Notamacropus eugenii: one gene and its partner. The protein of the gene in region 2 interacts with the protein of the main gene of each other region in a pairwise test. Links are inferred from orthologs where the notes say so. Each region holds a gene or a part of one and is shown on either strand. Other genes may lie near its edges.

Evidence for each region.
Region 1: the proteins of DAZAP2 (region 2) and POLI interact in binary tests that used the Homo sapiens proteins (3 or more experiments, as listed by UniProt). The two-hybrid records come from large-scale screens. The link is inferred for Notamacropus eugenii from reciprocal best matches to the Homo sapiens genes DAZAP2 and POLI.

The regions. Positions count from the first base shown.
Region 1 is NC_092875.1:436,980,910-436,991,010, reverse strand, and holds the start of POLI (DNA polymerase iota), read left to right. Parts: upstream 1-5,727; coding exon 5,728-5,881; intron 5,882-5,979; exon of another isoform or gene 5,980-6,640; intron 6,641-6,923; coding exon 6,924-7,049; intron 7,050-10,101. UniProt on the Homo sapiens protein: Error-prone DNA polymerase specifically involved in DNA repair. Plays an important role in translesion synthesis, where the normal high-fidelity DNA polymerases cannot proceed and DNA synthesis stalls. Favors Hoogsteen base-pairing in the active site.
Region 2 is NC_092874.1:223,614,738-223,625,323, reverse strand, and holds the start of DAZAP2 (DAZ-associated protein 2), read right to left. Parts: upstream 4,514-10,586; 5' UTR 4,329-4,513; coding exon 4,316-4,328; intron 3,958-4,315; exon of another isoform or gene 3,568-3,957; intron 2,290-3,567; coding exon 2,171-2,289; intron 1,749-2,170; coding exon 1,503-1,748; intron 1-1,502. UniProt on the Homo sapiens protein: In unstressed cells, promotes SIAH1-mediated polyubiquitination and degradation of the serine/threonine-protein kinase HIPK2, probably by acting as a loading factor that potentiates complex formation between HIPK2 and ubiquitin ligase SIAH1.

The DNA.
Region 1 (10,101 bases), on a different chromosome or scaffold from region 2:
TATAGCTTACCAAAAAAATTTTCTGCAACTGTTAATATAATCATGTGAGTTTTATTGTTCTTATTAATAATATAGTCTATTATGTTTCTAAGTTTCCTAATGCAGGAAACAACCCTGTATTCTTATTACTAATCCAACTTGATCATAGTGATATATTAACCTATATTTTATTTAAAATATTTTATTTCATTTTATTTCAAAAAATTTGAAATTTCAAAATTTTCATTAATGTTCAGTATAGATGTGTAGTTGCCTTTTTCTACAGTGATTCTTCCTGGTTTAGGCATCAAGACCTTATTTCTATCATGGAAGGAATTTGGTCGGATATCTTATTTTCCTGTTTTTTCAGTTTACGTTCTATCATAATTATCTTTTCTTCAGTTGTTTGATAAAATTCACTTCTAATTCTTTATGGTCCTGTTTTTTTCTGTATGAATTATTTGTGGATCATTCAATTTTTTTCTGTTATTGAGTTATTTAAGTTCTTTGTTTCTCATTCTATTAATTTGGAATTTTTATGTTAATAAAGTATTCATTTAAGTTGCCAGTTTTATTGGCATATATAGTTAGGCAAAATAGTTTCTAGTAACTTACTTTTTTTCTTTTTTTGTTGTGAATTCTTATTTTTCATTTTTGACACCAGTAATTTGATTTGATTACTTAAAATAAATGAGCACTACACAAATATCTAGAAATCTATGTTTCATTATAACTGGAGAATGCTCTTAACAACTCAATAGGGCTTTCAATAGCACTGGTCTTTATCAGGATGATACCAACACCAATCTTTCCAGGCCTTCAAGAGTTTTTCCCAATGCATTATTAATGACACTTTTATATTCTGTTCTATTTCCTTGCCTCTCCACCATCATCAAATACTTACTATTTTTCCCCTCACTTCCTACTGAGGACCCTATTCCCTGAAAGCTTTTTTGCAATGTCTCTAACCTGTCTGATTTCTTTTCTGAGTAGATTAAGATGGGCATTAGAAGCAGTGTGAGGAAGTAAAAAGAATCTTTTCTCTCCAAACCTCTCACATTGATTTATGTTGGTTAAAATTTTATTTAGTTTAATTTTTTAAATTTTTAAAAGCTTTTTTATGTTATTTGATTTAAAACAATGTTTATTTAGTCCGATTTTTATTTTTCTCAACTGTTCTATGTGCTAAATTATCCTTATGGCACAAAATATTTATTTCTTGAGATTATTAAGTTAAAACCATGAAGAAATTCAGAATAAAAGACATGTCAACAAAATTCACTATATTTTTATTTGTATTTGAGAGGGTCATTAGCTCTCCTCTACTCCATGTTTTCTGAAATCAAATCAGTGATAACAAATAATAAAAGTAGCTTGTTTTCTCTGTATTAAGAATACTATATGTGAATTTTCCTTTCTAGATAACCATAGATATTAGTATTTTATATACTCCCATTCTCAATGAATGTAATCCAGTCTAACAAGTATTTATTTAGAACTATGTGTAAGAAAGGCACTGTTTTAGAGATACAAAGAAAAAAATGAAATAGTCCCTGTACTTAAGAAAATTACATTCTACTGGAAGACCCAATATATATTTAATACATAATACAAAGCACAACCAATCAATATACATTTTATGTCAGGCACTGTGCTAAGCACTAGGGATGCAAAAAAGTTTTATTTTGGCACTTAGTTTATCTATCTATATTTATCTATATCTAGCTATCTAGATAAACATATAAGCTAATATAAAGATATAGAAAGCATGGTCTCCTTCAGGATGTGACACCTGAGCTGAGCCTTAAAATAAACTAGAATTCTAAGAAGCTGAGGTGAAAAGGGATTGTATTGCAGGGAAAGCCTGTGCAAAGGCACAGAGAGAGTGTGTGGGATGCTGAGTTCCAGGAACTACTAGTAAGTCATTTTATCTAGAATGTAGAACATTTGAATGACAGTATTATAAAATAAGTCTGGAAAAGTGAATAGGAGACAAACTTTTTAAGTTTAAGTTTTAAGTGTCCATTTTTTTTTTTGTTTTGTCTTTTATCCTAGAGGTAACAAGAAGACACTGACAATTTTTGAGCAAGGGAGTGACATAGTTAGACCTGTGTCTTAGGAACATTAATTATCCAGTTGTATGGAGGATGGATTGGAGGGGGGAAGAGATTGGAAGTAAGGATATCAAATAAGAGGCCATAGGAAGAACCAAGTTAACAGATGAATTGATGAGATGCCCATCCAATTTGAACGTAATGGAAACAGGAATAGCTAACATGCTGGCTGACATAGTAAGGATCTAAAAGCATTTCAATAGATTTAAATAATGAATGGTACACAGCAAAACGAAATTTAATAAGGATAAATATAAAAACAGACTTGGATTGAAAAAATATCAGTATCCCAAGTCAGATAGAAAAAGCATGGTTAGACAGCAGATTGTCTAAAAAAGATCAGGGGGTTTTGGTGGACTGCAAGTTTAATATGAATCAGCAGCGTAATGTGGCAAAATGAATCATTAAAGAGATGGTGAGAGAACATCTCGAAAAGGAAGTAGTAATTATAAAATGCCTTCATGGCTCATGAAGAACAGGTCATGACAGACTAATCTTATTTTCATTTTGACAGAGTTAGTAAGCTAGAAGATTAGGGAAATGGTGGAGTTAGACCAGCTAGATTTTAGCAAAGCGTTTCAAGAACTTCCTATTATGATTGTGGAAAATATGGAGTTACAGCAGATGAAATAACAATGCCATTAGACAGACTTGGAAATGGATGACTAGTCTCCAAGAATACTTACTGGTTTAATGTCACTTTGACCAAAGGTCTCCAGTGGGTGGCAAAGGAACCTACGGCTGGCTTTGTGTATTTGTATTTATTTTATTGATTTAAATAAGGGCAGAGATGGCATGCTTATCAAAATTGCAGGTGACACAAAGCTGGGCAAAATAACTAACACAATATGTGACAATATCTAAAAGGATCATGCCAATCTAGAGATTTGGGATAAATTTAATAAGATGAAATTCAATAGAGACAAAAGTGAACTTTTTACATCTAGGTTCAAAAAATCAACTTTACAAATATAGAATGGGTAAGCCACAGTTAGACAGTAGTCTGTCTGAAAATTATCTGGGTCTTCAAAATGAATCAGGAGTGAGATGGGCAGCAGAAGAAAAAAAGAAAATATGATCTTGAGTCATATAATAACTAAAATTTCAACAGCTCTCTATTATGAGCCAGGCACTGTGCCATGTGCTTTACAAATATCTTATTTGATCCTTATAACAACTTTAGGTGACATTTTTTTTATGAGAAAACTGAGGCAGACAAAGGTTAAACGACTTGTGCAAGATCCCATACCTCATAAAGGTCTGAGGCTGGATCTGAGCTCAGACTTTCCTGACTCCAGGCCCCTTGCTCTATCCATGTTACCACCTAACTGCCTAATTAGCAGATACATAGATTCCAGAAATAAAAACTTGATCCCCTTTCTGTACAATGACGTGGTCATACTGCACCTGGAAGTACTATGATCATTTCTGAGCATTGTAATTTAAAGACCTCAATAAACAGGAGAGCACCCAGAGGAGAATGAAGCACTTCAAGTATGTGCCATATGAGAATCACTTTTAAGGAAGTGGCTTGTTTAGACTGTTAAGAGAAGACTGAAGGGACACATAACTGTCTTCAAGTATTGGAAAGAATATTTAGCCTGGAAAAGAGAAGACTTGCAGAGGAAATATTAAAGCTGTTTTCAAATATGTGAAGGATTGTCACATGGAAGAGGCATGAGACTTCTGTTTGGCTCTAGAGGCTTGCACTAGAAGTCTAGGCAGAAATTGTAAAGAGGCCTATATGAACAACATAAGGATTCTTAATAATTAGAGTAGTTTGAAAGTGAAATGACTTGCCTTAGGAATACTTTGGGGAATCCATTGAAAGGTTGGACCCCAAAAGTAATGATTATTGGTTTGATGGAATAGCTAATGTGCAGAGTGCTCACTTTGGTCTCTGTAAGACCTCAGTTCAAATCCTAACTCAGACCTGTACTAGCTACGTCACCCTGGACAAGTAACGTTTTTGTGCCTCAGTTTCTTCATCTGTAAAATAAGGAAGTTCGATTTGATAGCCTCTAAGGTTTCTTCTAGTTCAAAATTTATGACCTACGTCAACTTGGAATACACTCTCCAGTTGGAGTGGCACCACGGTATTGTTTGTGCCTGGGCAGTTATACATTTTTTTATTAGTGACTTGGATAAAGGTGTGTGTGTGCACATGCATGCGTGTGTGTTTGTGTGTGTGTGTGTGTGTGTGAATCTCAAATGTGTAGACTACACAAAACCAGGAGGGGTAGCTAACACATTGGATGATAGTCAGGATCCAATATGTGAAGGATTTTCATGTGGAAGAGTAATGATTAATTACTGGTTCTGTTTGGACTTAGATGGTGGCAGTAATGGGTAGAAATAGCCAAGAGGCAAATTTAGGTTTTGATGTAAGGGAAAACTTCCTAATGAAATATCCAAAGGTGGAATAGGATGCTTTGGGAGGCAATTGGATTACCTTTATTACCATATACATACACATATATGTGTGTATACTATATTAGACTAAACAACCTTTGTTTGAAGATCTCCAATGAAGGTAATCCTTATATATGTGTGTATATATAGAGAGACTCATTATATACATATATATATGTGTACATACACACATATATGTATATAATGAGGAGACCTTTCAGATTTCTGACTTTGTCTCCAATCATTTCAGAGATTCTATAGTAGCTCCCCTCTAACTGGAATTCTTCAAAAAAGTCTGACTGCTTTTCCATAAAATTATTCTATCCCAATATACACCTAAAACTCTTCCAGTAGCCTTTCTTTTCCCATTTCTTTAATCCCAACAGCACCCTCACCTCTGCCGCATAAACTTCTCAAGGTTCTCCAGGGGTGAACCTGTTCAGACTGTAGTTTTTGAGATTTTTTTCTTTCTTTTGATTTTCATCACTATAGATATATATATAAATATATAGACATAGATATATAACAGTTTTGCTATTTAGTAGCAGCCCAGGCATTCCTGCTTTTTCCAGCAGCAGTTTCATGTGGTGCAAAGGAAGTCCAAGACCTTGGACAAGTCACTTCCCTACATATAAAACGTAGATCTAAATTCTGATTCTTCCGTTAACATTTTTTTAATCTTATTTGTAGTGGACTGAGTTAAAGCCATTACCTAAGAGGCTTCTTAGGGGGAAGGGTGGAAGGAAAATGCCCACTCATAAACAAACAAACAAGCAAATCCCTAATATCTCCTATGGCGCCCATTTTCCCGTGGTCCCCCTAGTCGAGAGCCGGCCAGTGAGGGAATTGGGCCATTGGCTAACGGATGGGGTTACGCCTTACAAAGGAGGAGTACCTACGTGTGTCGTAGGGCTATTTCTGTCGATGTCAACTAAATATGGCTAGTCTGGAGCTTTCGTTCTCTCTCGTGGGGACTTTAGCCTACAGCTCGGTGCCAGAGGGACTTCCCCGTCAGAAGCAAGGCGTCAGCTTCCGTTTCCCTTAAGGCAGGCGGGCGGGCTGAGGAGAGCGCATGCGCCCGCGTGCGCCCCGCCGTTAATTGGCTGGCCGGCCTCGTCCTTCCGCCAAGGCCCCGAAGGGGCGGGACCTGTGAGCCCGCCGTTTCCCGGGGCGACGGGGGCGGAGGCGACAGGAAGGCGAAGCTGCGGTTGGCCGCCGCGGAATGGACACGCTAGGGGTGGAGCCGGAGGAAGAGGAGGACGAGGACGACGAAGAAGAAGACGAGGAGGAAGACACTATGGACTCTCAGCTCTTAGGGGCGGCAGGAGGCTCTCAGAGCGCCACGGGGCCCGTGGAGGCCGTCCGCCTCGCTCCTTGTAAATGAAATGAGAGCGGCTGCGGGGAGAGGGGGAAGGGCCTCGGCCCGCCGGGGGGCGGGGGGCGGGGGGCGGAGGGCGCGGCCCCGCCCCAGGGCAGACTCCCCGGGAAGGGCTTCCGCCGAGAGGTCCCAGGGCCCACCCCCCGGCTCTGGCCCAGAGGAGGGCTGGAGTGAGCCCCAGGGGCTGCCGGGATGTCCTGTGGAGGGTGGAGGGTATTTTTACTTCTCCACGTGTTAGGCAAGCGAGGGTGCATTAACAAAAACATTTTTTAAACTTATTTATAAAAAAAAAAAATCCGAGACACGAAAGGCCCTCCCACCAAGTTCAAGGTTTGAGCAGCTGTGACGTCCCGCCCCGGTCCACGCGGGAGCTGGTCTGTTGCCCGCGTGGCTCTGGGGAGGGATGATGAGATGGGTCCTGCGGGGGCAGGGCAGGCAGGGGCAGGGCTTGTGGCCCCGGGGCGGGGTGCCCTTCCCCGCCCGCTTCACCCCACCCACGGCCTGGCGATTGGAGAGATCTGGCTGGGTTGTGGCTTGGGGCAGGCAGGGCGGCCTCTCCTGGGCCCTTATCGCCCCTTTGCCTGAGCTTTCAAGTCTGCTCGTGGGGATGTTCAGCTCTAAAACACACAGCTCTTGTTCCCCGCCATTTGGACCCTGACGTTAGCCACGTGGGCCGAGTATAGTGAAGTGCGTGAGGAATCAGGTTCCCCTAGTTCCGTGGAAATTATCTAAATCACTTCATCTTCCTTCCAGGAGGGTATTTATGTTTTATGATTTTTTTTCCCTTTTTCGGAATTAAGCAGTTGTGCTAAATTGTATAGATGTCAGGTAAAAGTTGCTTTTTTGTTTTTTTAATCCATTGGAGTATTCTGAAAACTATAACTTAAAACCTTGGCTCATAGGGTAAGTCAGGGAAAGACAAAACTGTTAAGCCTGGCAGACCACACTTTTGTTATTCACCATCTTTTACCACCACCCTACCCTGTTAGCCTAGGGTCAGGAGTCTGAAAATATTTTGCATTCCTTTGCATGTGGTGCAGCAGTTCATGGTCAAGTTGTGCCGGCAGAAAGTGCCTCCTACAGAGTCATAGTACACGTGGATCTGGATTGCTTTTATGCACAAGTAGAAATGATCTCTCATCCGGAATTAAAAGGCAAACCTTTAGGTATTTCTGGACTTACATATTTTCTTTCCCTTTCTATATTTAAGCACTAAATCTGTTAGAATTGCTTTTTTGTTGTTACTGTGTTCCATTCCATTCCATTTTACTCAGCTTAGTATTGTAAAACTTTAAAAGTGATTCCTGTACTGTAATAAGTAGTAATGAAGGGGATATGAATTTTATAATCATTACTTTATAAATGGATCATCTGAAGCAAAGAGAGCAAGAAATTTAGATATGGGCACATACACTTGTCAGTGCAAAACCAATAAATAGCTTAGTTTTATTTCTGGATGGACCTTCAGGCCTAGCTGGTTTCACTGCTTACTTCCTATTTGCATTCATAAGTAAATTATTTGAATTTGTTTCCCACCCTAAAATGTGAGAATAACTACTACTTCTGTTATTATTTGGTTGATGTGATCTAGTCATTCAAAAATTTTTATTCAGTGCCTTATGTGTATAATGCACTATTAGGTACTAAGAGAGATAAAAAAAAAAAATGAAACAGCATGCTCTTCAAATTTCTTCTGGGGAAGAAATGATTCCTGATAAATATCAGATATTATTGTCACTTCTAATCACCAGAAGGTTGGCCACCTGATGGTGAAATTTTTTGGCCATGGCAACTCTTGCAATGACCAAAAATATAAAATGGTCCTCGGCCCTGAATATCCTTTTTTCCTGGCTAAAAGGGATAGCAGATACTCAAAATTAACTGGTTCTAGACCATCTACAAATGTTCACTGAAATTTTGTTTAAATGATTTTTTAAAAACAAATTTGGAATTTGTCAAAGTCATTGTCATCAACAGTAATTTATTGAACCCCTTATCTGGGCTGGGCCCTTTGCTGTTTTATATAAAACAGTATAAAACACAATCCTTGTACTTGAAGTTCAGGATATTTGCACTTTTAAAAATTAACCACAGGTAGTGTTGTTGAATTTGGAATAAATAAACACAAGACTACATAGTTAAAACCAGAAGAATTTGCTTCAGATTTTGACTCTGCCGTTCACTAGCTGTGTGACCTTCCTTAGTTATTTTCTCATGACCTTCATTCCTTCATGAAATACAAAGGTTGATTTGATCAAGCGGTTGTCATACTTTTTGAACTTAGGATCTCTTTATATTCTTAAAAATTATTGAGGACCCCAAAGAGCTTTTATGTGGGTTATATCTCTTGATAATGTATTAAAAATTAATATGTCTAAGTATTATAATGGGAATAGTTTTGGCCTTGTGGATCGCCTGAAGAATACCTCCAAAGTTCACAGGACCATACTTGGAAGAATCAATCTTTAAAAGTTTTAGTTCTGACATAGATGAGTGTAAGTTTACCATGTAGGCCGAAAGTTCTGCAGAAGTAGATGGTTTTGTGAAAGATAAAGGCAATGCAGAGCCATTCATTGCAATTGGGAAATTGAGTTTGTTGGGGGGAAGGGAGTAAGTATTTATATAGCATCCACTACGTGCCAGACACTGTGCTAAGGACTTTATAAATCTTCTTTCATTTGATCCTCACAACAAAGCTAGAAAGTAGGTGCTGTTAGTATCCCCATAGTACAGTGGAGAAAACTGGCAGGCAGATAATGACCTACCCAGGGTTACATAGCTATTAAGTTCCTGAGACTTGATTTGAATTCAGGTCTTTCTGAAATCAGGCCCAAAAATTCCAGTCTGCCACCAGCTGCATCTTGTATTTCAGCCTAATTGTTACTTAATATTTGAATAGAACTTGCTGAATTTTGAAAAGTATTTTACTCATAGAAAATGTTTAATAAATATTTGTTGAATTTATGAATGAGAATGAGGTCTTCAAAATGGAATTTGGAATTCCATAAGCATACTCTAGGGAAACATTTTAGGCAACTGTAAAATTCCATTTTAAACCATATAAAAAAAGATCCATGTTAAATTATGAAGCAACTATCATATTTTTCATGTGGTCCTTAAGCAAATTGTTTTAAACAAGAGTTCATAAAAGCATAGTAAACTTTTGCAGCTGAAGAATGACTAGTCATTCCTCTTGGGGAAAATAAAGAAATTAAATAATATGTTTTGCTTCAACTTGCTGTGCTTCATACTACTTTAATCTTTTGTAAATTGCTAGCTAGGCAAAGTAGTTTGTTTTTATCATTAAAAGTTTAGGAATAATTTAGCTGTAATTGTCTTCTATAACACAATTTATATCTGAAGATGGTTCCCTGGCTGAAATATTTACTGTAAAACTTATGTAGCCTTCAAAAAATTGGTAAAACTGAGTTTTTAATATGGTATGCTGCTGATTACAATTTCTTTTCACCTTTTGCTTCCCCCTTGACCTGTAACTCTTCTTGAATACCTTACCTTTGCTGTATAGTCCAACAAAGAAGCAAGTTTAGTAATCAGAATGGGGCAGAGCATCTCTAATAATTATGACAAGCCAGTACTTGAAATAGAATACTCCCTTATGCAGTGTCAAAATGTTCAGAAGATGAAAGTGATTTTTTACTAGCAGCAACTAGCAATTTTGTTTGACAGTTCTTCCAGTTATGAACATTTTTAATAGAGCATAGCCTATGATTATTAGTTAAGAGTAAAGTTAATTCCATCTCTGTACCATATGAGAAAATATTAGAAATCTTTTATTCACATTTCACGAAAGAAAACACCTCCAGAAAAAGGTGGCTTTTGGTCATAGGCTGTTAAGAAACCCCCAAATACAGAACAAAGTACTTCTCTCATCTGTGAAACTAGTTCATGTATTAGTGTTTCGTGCTTTGTGTTATAATGCATGTGAGAATGGTGCACTTTCCACTATTATAGTTAGTATCTCAGTATATCTAAAGGGAAGCAGTATAGAGAAATGAGTAGAGAGGTGTCTTGGAAGCCAGGAAAACTTATCTCTGAAAGTTAATGGCACTGTGATCCCGAGCAAGTCACTAAACTTCTCAGTGCTAAGACAACTTTAGTTATGAGAGAAAAGGTGCTGACGTACATGGTAGAGGTAGTTTTTTCACCTTTGTGTTTTCTACTAATGAAATGACACATACAATTCCTGTCCCTCTTTAA
Region 2 (10,586 bases):
GCAATTTGATGAACAAGAGAATTTCGCAGGACTGGCCAACGTATTCCTTATCAGCACATTTGGGGTGCTACTCCCTTCCTGACTACCCAAAGGAAACAAAGAAGAACATTTGGAAGAGGGATACTAATATTCCTTCAAAAGATGCCCTGCTACAGTGAGACAGAGACCATGACTTGTGTAGAGTTAAGACTCATACTGGGTCCTCTACAATCCCGGAACTCTCCAAGGGTTGAGTTCCTTCTAAATCTTCTTTGGATGCTACTTTTGCTCCAAGGTGAGCCTTTTCCAGAAAGTTAACAGGACATTTTACAAATGGTAGAGAGAAACACCAAAACAAAATCCCTGGAGATTCTATCTGGGGGATCAGAATCATACTTTAAAAAGGACATCTCAAATATAGGCATATCCCATCCTATTATTTTGCTCTAAGAAAACAGAAGGTAATGATTGATAAATACCCAGTTTTCATTTTAGGGAGTAATTTACAGGGAGTTTTGTGATGTTACAGTTGTATATGGTAATTATTTATTGATGCTTTGCAATAAGAATCATATTACTGCAAAATAACTCTACTCAGAGCAATGTTATTTGGAACATATGGTAATATAACTTGTGCCCAAGAGGCAAATTCAATGTGGGGCTCTTAAGCCCCAGTAGAATATTCACAGGGAGCAAATACGGCTCTGGGACTGACCTGGTGCTTTGGGGAAATCAAGGAAAATTTATAACTACCTGTATTTACAGCTTAAGAACTTTCCTTTCTCAGAGACATAGATACCTCTTGGGTGCGTACAAAGATGCTGATATGACCATGGTTGTCACTGTTGGTGCAGAGTTACTTAAGAAAAGTTTGACCAGTTCCAAATTTCCCTTTTTAATGGATACATGGAAGACAAATTCCCAGATAATCTGGAAACAATTAAACCAAAAAATGCCAACCTCCTGGAAACAACCTGAAGATAAGATTGTGCAGAACTGTGGCCACGGTTGGTAGTAAGTTAAATGCCTACTGAGTAAAGGCAAACTTTCGTTAAACCAATTTAAACTGCTCCTTCTTTCACTCTTAGATGAACTGGGAAATAGCCCCAAATCTGAAAATCAGGAGGATAGGGTAAAGGGGTCTAGGTTTAGAAAAAGAGATTGTCAGCTACAATTAATTACCAGGTTATTGCTGCTAGAGGTTCTCCTTTCACCTCCCCCCCCTTGATACCTGCCTCACAGGTGGGTGTAAACTGTCGACAATCACTGCCCAGGGATGCTGGAGGGATTCCAGGATCAGGACCACAGATTTAGAGTTGAAAAGAGGCTTAAAGGATATCTAGCCCAGCCCCCTCATTTTATAGATGAGAAAACTGAGGCCTAGTTAAGCAACTTGTCCAAGGTCATGGGGTAATACTCAACATGAAAGAGAAGTTTGAGGTTTTAGCAACTCAGGACATTGGGATGCTTAGAGGCAAACATGCAGCACCAGGAAAGACCCAGTGTTTTCTAGTCATACTCACAGGAATGTTCCCAGCAGTAGCCCCAGCTCCAAACCTGGCACCAGGATCATATGCTCCATCCACCAGCACTGTTGAACCCGGGGGGTATACGTGACCAAGTGGATAGTAAGCCAGTGGTACAGCAGAGCCAACAGGCCCAACAGCCACAGACTGACCCATGGGAAGAAACAAAGAAGCACCAGGATATGCAGCTGACATAGTGGGAACTGTTGCAGTCCCTGGGTGCACAAAGTTTGGACGATAGAGCTAAAAAGGGGCAGAAGAAAAAACCAGTTTATTTCCTACGGTATTTATTTTGTATTTTAATAGTCAACGTTCAATTCTCCAGTAGAAACTATGTCACTTATGAAGCCAGCAAATGTCTTAATCATAGCCTCCCTCCCCCTACCTCTGAGCCTGCTCTCAAGACCCTCTCCCCAATGAGGGAGAGCCTAAGGAGAGATGTCAGGGTTGTTACAGTCACCATCATCACCTCCCCCCTCCCATACTGCTCTGCTCTCACTACCCCCTACCCAGGGCTTTCATTAGATAACACATCTTCAACCCAATAGCAATGATTTTTTTCATTCATGCCACTGTTTCTGAAATTCTAACCCTCTATAAAGACAGGGCAATGGTGGCACATGATTTCGGCCTGCTCCAACACCTAAAAATCTTGACACTCTTACCTCAGAATAGGCTGGAGGTGCATCCGTGTATGGTGGAACCTGAGGGAGATGCATGGTTTGAGGGTACACTGGATTTCCAGGAGGCTGCACAGGGTATGTGGGCTGCGTTGGATACTGCCCTAGAAGACACAAAAAGGCACGTGTAGTGGAATCATATGTGGCCAGAGAGAGGGCACGCTGCCCAAAGACTCACACAGCTGTGCAGACCCCTAGAAGTGGGGTCTGACAAACAGCTTGGAAAGGGATGATGCAGCGGAACAAACAGGGGAAGGGGGAAGAAGGTACTATCTTGCAGCTACAGATTAGGGATTCTGATAGGCCCAGGCTGGGAATTGTACAATCTACTCTACAGGAATATGCGGGGGGAGTGTGTCCAGTCAGTTTCAAGGAAAACACCTTATGAATAGGAACTCTTCTGATTATTCTCGGCTCTCTCTGAAGCTGGAGGACTTCTAGGTACCGGTAAGGATAGGAGATGGGATGTACTCATATCAATTAGTAAGGGATCCCTGGCTCCAGGGTTGGCCTTACTAATCATCCTAGTCAGGTGTCTAGATTTGGATGGGTTTCTTGCCTGGATCCAAAGGTCTACAATGACCTTCAAGGTCAACTTCAGAAAGAGGAGATTTAGCAGATGCAGAAGCCGCTAGATCATACATAGATTAAGAGATAGAAATGGTCCAAATCCCTGATTTTACAGATGAGGAAACTGAGCCCCAGAAACCTTAAATGACATACCCAAGGTCACACAGCTAATAAATGTCTGAGCCAGGATTTGCATATATATCCTGTAACTCCAGCACAACTTCCAAAGCCCATCATGGCCTACCACCACACCAGCGGTTTTCCCCCACCAGGGAAGAATAAGAGGATCTTGAAATGGAATAGACCTTAGGGACCTAGGATCACCTAAGCCAATTATCTTATCTAGAGCACTGGACAAGGAGCCAAAGCTCGGAGCTCAAATCCTGTCATAACCCTGGACAGATCACTTCACCTTTCTGTGCCTCAAGTTCCTTCATCTGCATAAAATGGGGAAAACAGCAGCACCTACATCGTAGAATCGTGGTGAGGGCCAAATAATAACAAGAAATCACTGCAAACCCTTGAGGGTTTGCAAAGCACTTTACACTTCTCATTTCATTCGATCCTTAAGACAAATCTGGGAGGCAGGTGTTAATTACTTCCGAGTATTAGCCTAAAAGCAATGGAAGAAGCCACATCCCTATCCCTTTTAATTTGTAAAAAGGGTTTGCGTCCAGTTCTGTTAAATGCGAATGTCATTTACAAATAAACATTTTGCTTTAAAAAGCGAAAAATAAGTCAACCGACTTTGCCACTGTTTTACAGAGGAGTAAACTGAGGCCCAGGTAAGCTGACCGGTCCGCACTCCTTACCAGACTATCCAAATGCCACCTATAGTGACAATTATTGGTCGTTATTGGGAGCCTAATGGTTAGAGGGCACTCTGGATCCGGGAAGTGGAGTAACTTGCCCAAGGTCACACGGTGGGCCTCAGACCTGAACCCCAATCTGGGCTCCTTCCCCTCCCCGGCCAGGCCCCGTTAGAAGGGCTTCCCAGACAATAGAACAATCCAGGGAGAGGGGCGGAGGGCGCCCCGACCCCCGGAGGGGGCTCGCGCCGGTGCTGGGCCGATTTAACCGACACATTCACAGCTATCAAGAAAAGGGAGGCCGGCAGCAAAGCGAGCAGCCCCAGACCGCGGCCCCTAGAGCCCAGCCCTCCCCCAAAGGCACCGACGCTCCCCCTCCAGCTCCCCCAGGCCGGAGGAGGGATGGGGGGCGCCCGTCACCAGGCAGCTCTCGGTCCCGCCCCCGTCCGGCTTCTCATTGGCCAAGCCCCATCGGAGCCCTCGCTCCCCATTGGCCTCGCGGCCTGCCCATCCCGCCCCGGCCCCCCTGCAGCTCAGAACTGCGCCACAGGCTTTAAGGGAAAAAGCTCAGGGAGGGGGCGAGCGGCCGTGGCTCGGGGCCTCGACCGGGAGCGAGCGCGACGCGGGCCCGGGGCCTGGCCCCTCAGCGACGAAGGCGGCCGGCCCCCGTCCGGGCCTACGGCTCCCCGAGGCCCCCGGCCGGCCGGCCCCCGGCCCTGCCCCGCCGGCTTCGCCCCCTGTCCGCTCTTGCCTTTGCTGTTCATGGCGGCGGCGGGTCCGGTTCGGCTTGGGGCTGCGGACGGTGTTTTTTTCGTCCTCTTCCTGTTCCAAGTCACTTCCGTGTCATGTGACGCGCCGTCCTCCCAGAGTCACGGGACGTCCTGGTGACCCCCCCCCCAACCCCTCCTGCGCCGCCACCGGAAGCCCCGCCCCCGGGCGGTGTCTCCAGGGTCAGGACTGAGCTGGGGGTGTCGGGCCTGCCTGGGCCCTCCCCTCTCCGACCCACCCCGGCCCCGCCCTGCAGTCCCAACCTCGCGGGCCCGGTCTACCCGCTCCGCCTCGGGCCACTCGGAGGCTGGGGCTGGGCCGGCCAGCGCCCGTCCCTGCCTCTCCCTAACCCTTCCCGGGTGGCTTCCTCCGAGAAGCCTTCCCAGTTTAGCTCCGCCCACGCCGACACGAAGGAAACGGCGCCCTCGATTCAACCCCCACCCCACCCCCATTTCACAAAGGAGGAAACGGACGCCTGGTGACTTTGGTAAAGCCACAAAATGAGTTTCGTTTTAGAAAGGTTTATTCCTGTCTCCTCGTGAAGCCAGCACGCCTGGGCTCCTTTCCCTTCCTCCCCGTCTCGGTGCTGCCGTCCCACATTACCCCCCGTTCATCCGGTGGATACACAGATACACGCACGTGTGTGTACATACACATACACGTCTCTGTGTGTTACGGGCGAACAGCTGCGGGCTATACGCATGCGTGTTCTTTCCAGATGGATACATGTAGCACGCAAACGGCTCCGGACAAGCGGTGCGTGCAGGCCCCTTCCCCGCACGCCGGGAGCTTCACGAGAGCCGGACGTTCTTGTCCTGGTTCGAAGCCTGGCGCACGTCAGAGTTTAGTAAGTGCTGGGGGACCGAGCACCTGGCCGGGCCCCGCTGCGGGGCTAGTCCTTGACCTCCTGCTCCAAGGTCAAGGTCATTCAGAGCCGCACGTCACCGGGGGAAGATCCTCGTCCCTAAAGCAGCGAAGCCGTTCTGGACGTTTGTTTGCGAGAGGACTAAAGCTTGAGGCTTTGACTTAACTCGCCTGTCACGTAAAGGAAGACAGCCTAGGACAGGAGTTGTTGGGGGGCCTAAGCTTCGCGAGACTCCCCCCACTTGAGACAATACACCTTCCTGACTGCGTGGGGTCCCCGGGGAAACTGGGGAGCTCCAAGGACCTGGGTCCACCTGAGCCAAGCTGTATCCTTGGTGACTAGCATCCTTTCTAGGCCACTACTGAGTAGATTTCTTTAGTTTATGGTCATATAGCCTTCAGGCATTTCAGTTCATCCCAGTCCTGAGCCTGAACCACCGGGCCACAGACAGTCTGGCCTCCTTCACTGACCAAGCATGTCCACTCCCACATTCATGTGTTTCCATAGGCGGCCCCTCATTCCTGGAATGCATTTACTTCTCCCCTCTCCTTCAAAGTCTTAGCTGCCTTCAAGGCTCAGTTCAGTGCCATGTTCCAGGTCAATTTTTTTCCTATGTTACCTAACTTTTAATACTCTATCGCTCCTCAAATTATTTTATATGTACATGTCATATCCTTCCCAGAGAATGTAAGTTCCTTGAGGGCAAGATCTACAAAAAAATGTCACTGTATCCCTAGCACCTGGTACAGTACCGAGCATGTATTGTTCATTTATTCAGTCATATCCAAGACGTATGGACAGTAGCATGCCAGCCACTTCTGTCCTCTACCATCTCCCAAAGTCCATCCAAGCTCATGTTTATTGTTTCTATAATGCTATCCATCTCATTCTCTGCTCTCCCCCTCCCCTTTTTACCTTCAATCTTTCCCAACCCCAAGGTCTTTTCCAGTGAGTTCTTCTTATGGCCAAAGCATTTAAGTTTCAGTTTCAGTCCTTCCAATGAGTAGTCTGAATTAATTTAAGTACTGACAGATTTGATCACCTTGCAGTAGCTTAATAAAAGCCTGTTGTCATTTTTTTGAGGAAAAAGTCCAAGCTATAAATAACCATATGAAAAAATATTCCTAATCATTAATAGAGAAATTCAAATTAGAGCATCTTGGAGGTTCTCATACCCAAGGCTGACCAAAAATATATATATTACAAATGCTGGAGGGGCTGTGGGGAAACAGGTACAGTAATGTACTATTGGGAGAGTTCTGAACTGGTCCAGTCATTTTGGAAAGCAACTTAAAACTATACCACAAAACTGATTAATTTATGCATTCCCTCTGATAGTAGGGCCATACTCCCAAAGAAGTGAGAGATACGTATGTATAAAGTTTTTATAGAAGATCTTCTTGTGTTGGCAAAGAGCTAGAAAATTAAGAGAGTGCCCATCAATTGGAGAATGGATGAACAAATTATGGCATATGAATGTCATGAAATACTACTGTACTGTAAAAATTTATAAGGGGGACAATCTCAGAGAAACCTGGGAAGATTCCTATTAACTGATGTGGAATGAAGTAGGCAGAACCAGAGGAACAATGTATACAGTAACAACAACATCACAAAGACAAATAGCTTAGGAAGAGTTAAAAACGCTTCTTACAGTGACAAACCATGGTTCTGGATGACTCATGATGAAACATGCTCCTCACTTCCTGAGAAAGGTAATAGATCCAGGGTACAGATTGAGATATGGGGTTTTTGCACATTTCTGATGTGGGGATTCATTTTGCTTGACTGTGTGTATTTGTTACAAAGGTTTTGTTTTTGCTTCCTTTTCAATGGGAAGAGGAGTCAGTCAGCATTTATTGTCTACTAGGTGCCAGGCACTGTGCTAAGTGCTGGTGAAACACAAAAAGGCCTGATGAGTCCTTGCCCTCAAGGAGCACACAATGTAATGAGGTGGAGAGGGGGAAGAAACAGATTTTTGTTCATTGAAAATATTAAAATAAGCAACATGATTCATACAAATAATCAAACATACCTTCTGTAGACTGAATAAATATAATTTTATAAGAAAAAAATGCCTGTTGTTATTTGGTCAATCAACCAGAGAAATAATATATACGTAAATACATACAGCATATTTGCAAAATTATCATACACTTGTGTTCAATCTTCTTGACCCCATTCTGGAGTTTTCTTGGCAAAGGTACTGGAGTGGATTGCCATTTCCTTTTCCAGCTTATTTTACAAATGAGGAAACTGAGGCAAGCAGGGTTAAGTGACTTGCCCAGGGTCACACAGCTAGTAAGTGTCTGAGGTAGCAGTTGAAGTCAGGTCTTTCTGACTCCAGGCCTGGCATTCTTTCTACAGCACTACCTAGCTGCCATTTACAAAATAAATAGAGGTAATTTTGGAAGTGAGGCTCTACCAGTGGAAGGGAGCAGAGAACAGTCTAATCGAGAAGACAGAATTTCTAAGAGGCAGAACTGAAGGGGGCAAGGTCCTTTCTGGCATGGGCAAAGGCACTGAGATGGGAGATGGAGTGTAATGTGGGGAACAGCAAAGAGGCCAGTTTAATTGACCTATAGAAGGCATGAAGGGGAATAATCTTAATCAGTCCGGGAAGTAGGTTGGAAGCAGGTTGTGAAGGGATTTGAACTCTAAAGAGAGGAGTTTGTATTTGATCCTACAGGGAGCCCTTGCAATTTATGGAAGAAGGGAATGACATAATCAAATCTGTGCTTTGGGAATATCACATTGGCCTCTGTATGAACCTTGAAATTGGAAAGATGAGACTTGAGGCAGAGGGAACAATTAGAAAGTGACCGAAATAGTCCAATGAAAAGGTAAGGTGATGGTGAATGAGGCCAGTGACCGTAGAAGTAGAGAAAGGGGACTAGTAGAGGAAGTGAGAGAGGTTATAGACATGAAAAGGACAAATTTTAGTAACTGAATGACTAAGTGGGCTGAGGAAGAATGAAGAGTTGAGGATGACACTAAGATTGCAAACCTGGGTGACCAGAAGGATGGAGATACTGTTGTTATTTTATCACTTCCCAGCTAGAAACCTTTGCATTTTCTAGCCTCTAAAATCTTTTCTTCTCTAATTCCTGCCCATTGATATTCTCTTTTTCCCCTCTCTGTCTGATCAAATCTTGTTCATTTTTCAAGGTCCAGTTCATTCTACAGCTTCCATGGAGCCTTTCTTCCCTAAACAGCTCAGTCCCTGGTGATCTTCAAAGTTCTGTAGTGAAAGAGGGTAAAAACAAATTGAGGAATAGCTAATAATACTGTCTGGCTGGAATGTAGTTCACTTGAAGCAAAAAGTGTGAAATAAGGCAAGAATAGTAGGTTGGAGCAAGATTATAAATTGCCTTAAATGCCAAGCTAAGGAGTTCGCATTCTATAAGCAATGGGAAATCACTAGAGAGTTCTGTGCAGAGAAATCACATCATTAGACCTGAGTTTTAAGAAGATTATTTTTGTAACTGTGTAGAGGACTGATTAGAAAAATGAAGCCTGCAAACAGGGAAACCAGTTAGGTGGATACTATTAGTGTTCCAGCTAGAAAGGGAAGGATGAGGACCTGAACCAGGGTAGTAGCAAAGAAAGGTAAGGACAGATGTTAGAGTTATTGTGGCAGTAAAATCAACAGGACCTTTATTATCTGAAGTTGGGGGGTGGGGATGGAGTGAGGGATTAGAGTCAAAGATAACTGTGAGGTTTCAAACCTGAATCATTGAGAGGAAAGCAGCACCATAAATAGGAACTGAGAAAATTGGAAGGAGGCAGATTTATGGTGGAAGATGAGATATTCAGTGCTAGATGTTTGGAGTTTGAGAAGCCAGCAGGACAATATAGCAGGTAGCTAGATTTGCAGGATGGGAGCTTGGGGGAGATCTCACTAAGCTTTGGAGAAAAAATTGGAAACTGTCAAAAAACTTTTTATCCATCAGTCAGTAAACATTAGTTAAGTTCCTACTATGTACCTGGCACTATGCTAAGCATTGGAGATATAAAGAAAGGTAAATACAACCCCTTCTCTCAAAGAGCTTATAATCCAATGAAGAAACAATGTAAAAACAAATATGTACAAACAAGCCACATATAGGATAAATTGGAGATAATGAACAGAGGAAAAGCAGTAGAATTAAGGTGGATCAGGAAAAGTTTTCTGCAGAAAGTGGAGTTTTAGCTGAGATTTAAAGGAAGCTAGGGAAACTAGGAAATAGAAATGGAGAGGGGGAGCATTCTAAGCATGGAGGAGAGCCAATCAAAGTGCCTGAATTCAGGAGATGGAGTATATCTTATTCTAACAACAGCAAAGAGGTCAGTGTTACTGGATTACAAAGTGGGGAGGGGAGGAAATGTATGATATAAGTAACTGGAAGGGAAGGTGGGTTTAAAGGGCTTTAAAAGCCAAACCAAAGGTTTTATATTTGAACCTGGAGATGATAGGGAGCCATTGAAGTTTACTGAGTGATGAAATAGTTAGACCTGTTCTTTAGGAACATCAATTTGACAGCTGAGAGGAAGTGAGATCAACCAGCAGGCTGTTACAGTAATCCAGGTGTGACTTGAGGAGGGCTTGCACCAAATGAGCTGGGAAAAAATATTCTCCAATCTGTCCATTTGAGAAAATCTCTGAGAGAGGCAGAGCCAAGATGGCAGAGTAGAGAAATATTCAGTCAAGTTCTCCCAAATTCTCCTCCAAACAACCTAAAATAACATCTCAAATCAAATTCTGGAGCAGCAAAACCAACAAAAGGTTGGGTGAAATAATTTTCTAGCCCAAGACAACTTAAGAGGCTGGCAGGAAGGGTCTGTCTCACTGGAGTGTTGGTTGGATCTGGAGCACAGTTCAGATTCCACGATGCAGACCCTCCATGCTACAGAACTAGCAGGAGCCTTGGAGGTGACTATATTGGTGGCAGCAGCAGCAGCAGCTTTGGGAGTTCTCAGCCTAGAGACCATTGGGAGAGGGGCATCAGACAACTGGTCAGGAGATTGCAGGTAACCCTTTGCTGGCCCTGGTTTTAGGACCCTTTCATTGCCCACACATAGTTCTGAGTGACAGTGCAAGGGTCAAAAGGAGTGATACCTCCTGTGGTCACAGGGAAGCTGGGGCCTTGATTGAGGTTCCAGGGCAGAGAGGAGTGCTCTTGGGGGAATAGAGACCCTGATCTCAATTCCAAGACAAATGGAAGCACTAGTCTGCAACTTCAGGAACGCAGGGACCTGATCACAATCGCAGGCCAGTAGTGGTGGTTAAAGGGGAACAAAATTCTTTCCTGGGTAAAGACCAAAGCACAAGCCAGGAGAGCAGGTTCTATACTCTCCTTAGATCTTAGCACCTTGGAAGCACTGAAAACCTACAGACCCCCCCAGAACT